Linked DNA regions of Rhinolophus ferrumequinum. The protein of the gene in region 1 purifies or fractionates together with the protein of each later gene. This does not show direct contact. Links are inferred from orthologs where the notes say so. Each region holds a gene or a part of one and is shown in the gene's direction. Other genes may lie near its edges. The genes, in order: ASB2 and RNF7.

What was found.
Region 2: the proteins of ASB2 (region 1) and RNF7 purify together in Homo sapiens (affinity purification with western blotting; 3 studies listed by BioGRID and IntAct, with this or other methods). This does not show direct contact. The link is inferred for Rhinolophus ferrumequinum from reciprocal best matches to the Homo sapiens genes ASB2 and RNF7.

What each region holds. Positions count from the first base shown.
Region 1 is NC_046289.1:9,095,355-9,099,266, forward strand, and holds the start of ASB2 (ankyrin repeat and SOCS box protein 2), read left to right. Parts: upstream 1-1,305; 5' UTR 1,306-1,634; intron 1,635-3,912. UniProt on the Homo sapiens protein: Substrate-recognition component of a SCF-like ECS (Elongin-Cullin-SOCS-box protein) E3 ubiquitin-protein ligase complex which mediates the ubiquitination and subsequent proteasomal degradation of target proteins.
Region 2 is NC_046300.1:40,079,617-40,083,528, forward strand, and holds the start of RNF7 (RING-box protein 2), read left to right. Parts: upstream 1-1,633; 5' UTR 1,634-1,748; coding exon 1,749-1,923; intron 1,924-3,912. UniProt on the Homo sapiens protein: Catalytic component of multiple cullin-5-RING E3 ubiquitin-protein ligase complexes (ECS complexes), which mediate the ubiquitination and subsequent proteasomal degradation of target proteins.

The sequences.
Region 1 (3,912 bases):
GGTGCCAGAGTAGCTGGGACACAGCCCGGGACTTATCATGTCCTCCCGTCCTCAGGACCAGATAAGACCTCCAGAACCTTGGCCTAACACCAGGGAACCCTGTATTCACTGAGATTTATTTTCAAGTGGAATATTCCATGTGAGTCTGAAGGCATCCTGAATTCTCCTGAGTTTGAGTTGATAAATCATAAATCCAATATCCTCCAAGGGGTATGGGCCTTTGAAACTGAAATTATTTTCCACTGAGAGGAATGGACCAAGGGTACATTTCCAGGCCGCAGACTCTGGCCTGAGATCTGGATGCACCTATGGGTGTTTAAGCTCCTGGAACACTCAGTGCACGCTCCTGGGTGCTCAACGCAAGTGACTGTACGTGTTGCCTTTGTCACCTGATGCTGACATTCTGCGCCATTCAATCAATGGCAGAAACAGGGGATATTCTTCCCTTGCCCTGGAGGAAGGGTTCCATTCCACTGTGTGCCTCTGTCCAGGGCTTGCCCCCATGCGTGTGCGTGTGTGTGTCCCTCTTCTCTGTAGCTCCAGACTTATTCCACAGCATCCAGCAGCTGGATCCCTGGTACTTCCAAATGGCAGTCTCTGCAAAGGTCATTTACGCTGAATACTTTCATCCCTCTCTTCCTGTCTCTTTCCTTCTCTCTCATTCAGCCCACCTTCCTTCCTGCCTTCCTTCCTGCCTTCCCCCTTCAATACAGATAGCTCTCAATCTCCCTTCTTTCTCTCTCTTTCCCACCCTTCCTGTCTCCATCCTTTTTAACCCTCTTCCCTCCCTCTCTCCTCTCCCATTTGCTTCTCTTTTCTCCCTCTCTCTCTCTGTCTCTCTCTTTCGCTCTCCTTTCTTCCAGTCCATACTGTCTTTCTCTCCTATTCCTCTTATACTCCAGTTTCTCTCTCCCTTTTCATCTCTTAGACAATCACAATTTCTTTCTCCTTTTGTCTTCCCCGTTTTTCCCAATTTTCTTTTCTTCCTTTCTTCTGTACATTTATTCTTATCGTCTCACTCTCTTCTTTCCATCCTCTTCCTTCTTTCTCTCCAACATCTCTTTCCATTGTTCCTCTTTTTTCCTTCATTCTCTTTCCTCTTCTCGTCTCTCCCACACTGTCTTTTGCCCTTGTTCTCGTCTCCTTTTCTCCCAGCTCTGTCTCTCTGTTCTCTTCTCCTGTCTCTGTCTCTTACCCGCTGCATCTCTCTCCCTTCTCACTCCCTCCCGGAGAAGTTCCAGAAACATACCCATATATGGCCTCCATGTCAAGGATTACAAGTGATGACGTCCCAGGAGGGCCACTGCTCCGAGATGCTCTCTGAAGTGAAGTCCGTAACTGATGCAGGCTGCAGGAGCTGAAGGCAGGACCACGGCTTCCTCCATGCAATCTTCAAACAGGAAATCTGAGATTCATAACATCTTATAGTTTGGCTTGCCATCATTGGTCATGCGGTGGGCCCGAAATAAACTCCCTGCTTCAAAGGAGAGTGTTTCAGAGCTGCCAGGCAGAGCCGCCAGAAGCTCAGGGCCAGGGGAGAAGAAACACTCTGGGGGCATGTGCTGAACTAAGACACCCTCAAGCAAATCCTTTTTATTATCCCTGAACGGTCCCCTTGTTTCAGAGCCTAACAGGTAATGCATGCTTTCGACTTTCTTATACAGATCTCAAGAGAGAGTATTTGGCTGGCTAGTGCTTCCCACTTGCAGTCCGACTACTTTCTCCCTCTCTCTCCTATGCTTCTGAATTATAAAGCATGGTGGTGACTTTCGTTTTGGATTTGGGGGACATAGAAGCAGCCGTTTGCGTGTACTACCCATTCTTCTGGAGGACTCTTGCTCAGAATATCACTCTGCTGTGCACTTCTAAAAATGGAAATGCAAAAGCAGTTATCAAAGATGCTATTGTTGGTTCATAGGCCTTGGGCAGTATGTGTCAGACAAATGGCTTTCAGAAATGCTTGTAGGTTGGTTGAATAGATATTTTCATGCATGGGGGTGTCCATTTCATGTGACATTTATGGAGTGTCTGCATGTGCCCAGTATTGTGGGTGCAACAGCAAGCAATTTGCCATGGGCTGTACCTGCAATGGCTTGGGATTTAGGAGAGGAAATAGAATCTGGAAACAAAAACTATGGCTCAGTGTAAAGAATGCAAAATGTTACGTGGGAATGCAGAGATGCAAGAATACCGTGTGTGTGTGTGTGTGTGTGTGTGTGTGTAAGCATGAGGACAAATTCAAGGAAGAGATGGCCTTTGAAAGGACAGATGGGGTGTCATCAGGCAGAGTGGTCGGGAGAGGGACCTTCAGGTCGGCAAAGGCAGATAGGTCAAGGTGCGTCTGGGTATTGGTGGGAAGCGCAGTGTGGCTGAGGCAAAGGGCCATGAAGGTGAGAAATGGGGGTGAAGCTGGCAGGGGGAGCCAGAGGCAAATGCAGCTCTCCCCAGGCCAGGCAAGAGGATGGGACATATTCTAATTGTTTTTGAGCGGGACATGGGGTTGGGGTTGGGGGTGAAGGCGGGATCTGACTTCAGGTAGCTCCTCAGGAAGCCAGGGGGGAATGGACTAGAAGGAGGACGCAGGGAGGCGGAGCCTCTTAGGAAGACAGGTAAACGATGGAGACCTGAGGCTGAGTAGGGGCCAACCACCCACCCCGCCTCCTCAACACACACACACACACACACACACACACACACCAGAGAGTGGCCTCCCTGAAGGGAAAGCTCGTGCATGAGGCAGGGGCTTGAGGGACTTCACAGGGGCCCAGGCAGAGCCACCTGGGACCAGCACACCAGCCACAGCCCTCACCTCTGCCATCAGAGGCCGGGGGCAGAACACAGGGAGGCAGCCAGTGGCAGATGCTCCAGTCACTTCCAAAACACTTGGATGGGTCCCGACAGCTGGTAGCAGTCCTGTTTACAGCACGGCCTCCTCAAGGAGCTGGCAACAGCTCCAGCTGGCATCATTCTCCTTTACATCATCCATTCTTACCCAAAGTGGCCAGGCCGTGAGTGCCTCGTGGGGGAGCGGGCAGCCTCTTCCTCCTCCCTGGGGTAGGGGCCCCATATTGTCCACTGCCGGTGACCTGACAATTGATAACACAATCAGCACCCATAAGCGTTCACTGAGCACTTACTATGAGCCAGGCACTGAGCACAGCGCTTGTGGTGATTTCTCTCACTGACTCTCTCGAGGACGTCAGAGTTAGAGGTGATCGTTTCTCCCACTTTCCAGATGGGGAAACTGAGCTTCCGAGAGGTTAAGGGTCTTTCCTAAAGCCAGACAGCTAGGGGGTGTTGAAGCCGGCAATCAAATCCTGGCCATTTGGCCTATTGGCCGCTGGTGCCACATTCAAAGTCACGGTCTCCGGCGGCCTCCCAGGGCACCAACACAGCAATAAACAGACCTGTCCCTGGCACAGCCAGGGCATCATAAGATGCCTGTATATGGTGGACAGGCTGGATCCAAGAGAATCTTCCCGAAGGAGACACAAAAATATCCCTGGGCCCGCCCAATGCCCTTCCATTTCTGAGCTGCAGAGAGGCAGGCTGCCTGGAGGAGGTGGCTGTCACAGGACTGATTTGTATCTTTACTTCTCATCCTTAGCACCTTCTTTTGGATTAATTAATGCCCAGCAATATAAATGAAGTCGGTAGGAGTTTTGCGATTGAGGAAACTCTTTGAGAGAGGTAGTGATGGTATAAAAGTAAAGTGATTCCTAAACTGCCTGAATTTTCTAAAGAAAAAGACACAAAAGAGAGGAGTGGAAAAGAGAGGAAAGATAAGGAAAGCAGAGAGAGGAGAAGAAAAAGATTTAAGTAAAGGTAGGAAAAGGGGGGTGGAGGACAGAAAGAAGAAAGATCCTAGCTGATTTTGCTGTGATCTCTGTGCAAAGATTTGCAGCCAGCCCT
Region 2 (3,912 bases), on another chromosome or scaffold:
CATGTATCGTATATAGTTCATCTGGGTTTGTTTATAGGCATTTTTGTTTGGCTCATAAAGTTAGTGTGTTCAGACTTATATCTGCCGCCACTACCACTGCTCTGCTCCAGCTCATAGATGTTTGCTTTCTTCCTTCATTTTCTGGCCTCCAGGGTCTCCCAATTCCCCCCATTTCAAACTTCACCTCTTTCATGAGGCTTTTCCTCACTGCATCAGTCCTCAGGAATGTCTTTCTCCCTCCCAGCACTTAACACACCACTCAACAAACAGCACACATTAGCATCTAGTCAAATATGACCTTGTGTCCATATTTATATTTGATGTAGTTATGCATCCTTGTCTTTTCTGCCAGGCTCCTTGAGCTTGGTTAGCCCCCACCCAGGTACAAAGCCTGGGGGCACCAGGAGATGAGGGGATGATGGGTGGACCAGTAAAAGCTGAGGCTCAGAATCCCAAACCTGACACAGCAGGTGTCCACCACTAGATGGTGATGGCAATCAGGCATCTCCTTAGGCTCTCTGTGCCTCAGCTTTCTTATCTTTTAAATGGAGGTGTCTGCTTTGCTTGGGAAGACATAATTCTATGACTCTGGGCTAGCAATAGAAGAACCCTGGCTTCAAAACTGTCACCATCACGTAGCAGCTATGTGCTCTTTAAGTTACTTCCCTGGACCTCATTCCTCCCACATATAAAAGGTTAAACCAGAGGTTCTCACAGAGTGGTCCCCAGGATTTCTGGGCTCCTTTCAGAGGTCAAAACTATTCCCATAACAATATTCAGAGCTATTTCTCTTTTCACTCTATGAATGTACAGAGTTTTCCAGAAGCTACATTATTATATGTGATGCCATCGCTCCAATAATAACTCGTAATGGGTTTATTACTGTTATTTTAAAATGGATTAATATATTTAAATTTTTTCATCTTTTAATTTCTTAAAAAACAAATATATACAGAGGGTGCCAAAAAGATGTATACACATTTTAAGGAAAATGTATCAAAATTGTGCTGATGGTAACCACTTTGAGCACCTCTTGTAATTGCAGGTGTCAAACCTAAGACTTGTGTTCATCTTTTGTTAGGTATATATGGAGTATTACAATTTTAATAGTTTTTTCCCTTTCTTAAAATGTGTATACATGTTTTTTTGGCACCTTCTGTATTGTCCACACAACAAGAGCTCTTTAATTTTTAAGTATAAAGGCGTCCTGAGACCAAAACGATTGAGGAACCATTGAACCAGATTTCTAGAAGATCATTAAGGTCATTCACTCAACAAATAACTGGGCCTCCTGTGGCCAGGCATTTCTTTTTTTCTGATAAGGAGGCCAAGGTGACGATAAAGACATGGGCCCTGCTCTGCTGGAGTTTACATTTGGGAGGGACGACAAACGGCTATGTTAAGGAGATAATTTCTGAGAGTAGTAAGTTTCATAACGGCCTAAGGCAGCTCTCACGACAGTAACACCCGACAGCGCGAGGGCCGCCCTCCTGCCGGTGGTGGCCCCTGGGCCCTCAGCCCTCTACGTTGTCCCAGCATGGGGCGGGGGTGGGGACTGCGTCCGAGAGCTGGCGTGTGGTGACGTCACTGCCCCGCGCCAGCCAATCGCGGGCGACCTCTGTCGTAAGCACCGCGGTGGCGGGCGGCCTGCGGGCGGCGCTGTGGCCCGTCGGGCGGCCCGGCAGAGCCGCCATAGCCGCGTGCCTTCCCCTAGCCAACGTCTCCGCCGCCGGCTCCGCGCCGTAGTCATGGCCGACGTGGAAGACGGCGAGGAGCCCTGCGCCCTGTCCTCTCACTCCGGGAGCGCAGGCTCCAAGTCGGGAGGCGACAAAATGTTCTCTCTCAAGAAGTGGAACGCGGTGGCCATGTGGAGCTGGGACGTGGAGTGCGATACGTGCGCCATCTGCAGGGTCCAGGTGATGGGTAAGCGCTGCACGCTAGGCCCGGGCTGCGCTCCGGCCTGCGCGGGTCCGGGTCCGGGACGGGGGACGAGCGAAGGCTCGGAGAGACCCTTACCTGGAGGAGTGGGGGCGGGGATCGCTCTGTCCCGGCCGGTGCTGGGGCGGCCGCCAGGGGCGGTGGGGTCGCTCAACAGACGCACAGTGCCTGGGGCTGGATTTTCGGGGGAGAAACTGGCAGTAAACAGAGGAATTAAACAAGATAATTTCAGGTAGCGATGGGTGTGGCCAAGAAAATACTACTAGGTGGTTTTCTGGGAGCTGGGAGGAACCGCTTTGGTACGTGTAGCCAGTCCCAGCCCTGCGCTAAAAGCAAACCACAAAGAGGTCAGGGTAAAGGTCCTGATTTCGCAGAGCAACTTGAATGGTTCTGGTCACACACCAAAGTGGTGCTCTGGTCATCTTCCACAAAAGCGACACCCTCGGTGCTGCTGTTGAGAGATGCAGGGAAGAAAAGTGTTCCCAGCCATTGCATTCATTTCTGGATTAGCTACGGTTGTGCTGCTGCTGGCCATTAAATCTGTGCGATTCAAGACGGGTCAGACGGCACTCGCCTGGCTTGAAGGAGATTACATGTGGTTCAAAAATATTTAAGTGTCGTGGGAATTGAATAATGTGAGCCGTTTACTCAGAAACAGAATTTCATCCCCTTCCTGGCCCCTCACTCTCATAGCTTGCCATTTCCTGGAGAAGACAACTGCCCTGCGCTGAGTCAGGTCTTTGTGGAGAACCCGCTTTTACAAATATCTTACTTCTTTTTATATTTTGAATAAAAATGTCGGACCAAGTGAAACCTTTGAGAGCAGCTTCATCCCGTTTTTGTCTTATATGGTTTGTTTTAGAGTCTCAGGCCACCTTGAAAAGGAGGCGCTGTTTAAATGCAAGTTGTATATTTAAGTATGGCATTTAAAACTACTGTGAGAGCATCCAAAATGTTGTTTCTTAGGGGTAGATGAAGAAAATTGAGGTTTCTATAGTCTTGAGGTTTCTACTGTCTTGCACTGAAAATGCGAGAATTGGAGAAAATAAATAAAATCGTTGTTCCTTCTTGAGGGATAAAACTTTTAAATTTACCAGAATCAAGAGATTTCTCAATTTATAGTCTCTTTAGTGTGCTGTCTTGTTTTTTATTCATAAGGACCTGTTTCAAAGAGGATTTACAGCAAAATGGAGTTCAGATGTTTTTTGTTTTGTTTTAAAGAGCTTAACTTCAGACATGACTCACTTATTTTGTACATTAGGTTTTTAAAACACCTCGTTTATTGGCCTGCAGTGCAGCCTTCTTATCCCATACCCCACCCATTACTTAGGAATTACAATCATAATTTCCAGTTTGGGTGGCATTTTTAACTTATACAGGTGACTTAATTTTTTTGCTTTTTTGCAAGACTGGCTTTGCTAAAAATTTTGTCCCCTAAATTTCCTTTAGTCTAAAAATGAAGAATGTTTCTAAAAGCGCATTTTCTTCCCCCCCCAAAGAAAACTTTAAAACTAGTAAGTAGAAATGCAGAATTTAATGGTTGAAATCTTGCAGCAAATAAACTTTAACTGGGATATTTAAAGTAAGTCAAAGTATGGGCTATAAATGGCTCCATTCACAGTAACTTTCTAATTATAGCAAGTATTCTGCTACTGTGGATTAATGTTGCAGGTTTACAACAGCTATACTTTGAGTTCAGGGAAGTACTATAGACTAGACCTTTGTATTTTGTTTATGAGGTGTTAAAATCCACTTAGTGGTCAGGTAAACAGCAGAAGGAAATTTTTCAGACTTCCCAATCCTTATCCTACCATTACTCTAAAAGATGTTACTATTACTGCACTCCTTAAAAAAATACTGTTTTAGATACTTTTTTCTTTTATCTGAAACTTTGGGAATTTTTGTCAGTTTAGGTCAGTTTTTTATCATGAGTCTAAATCAAAGCTATAAGCATAAATCAGAGATTTCTAGATT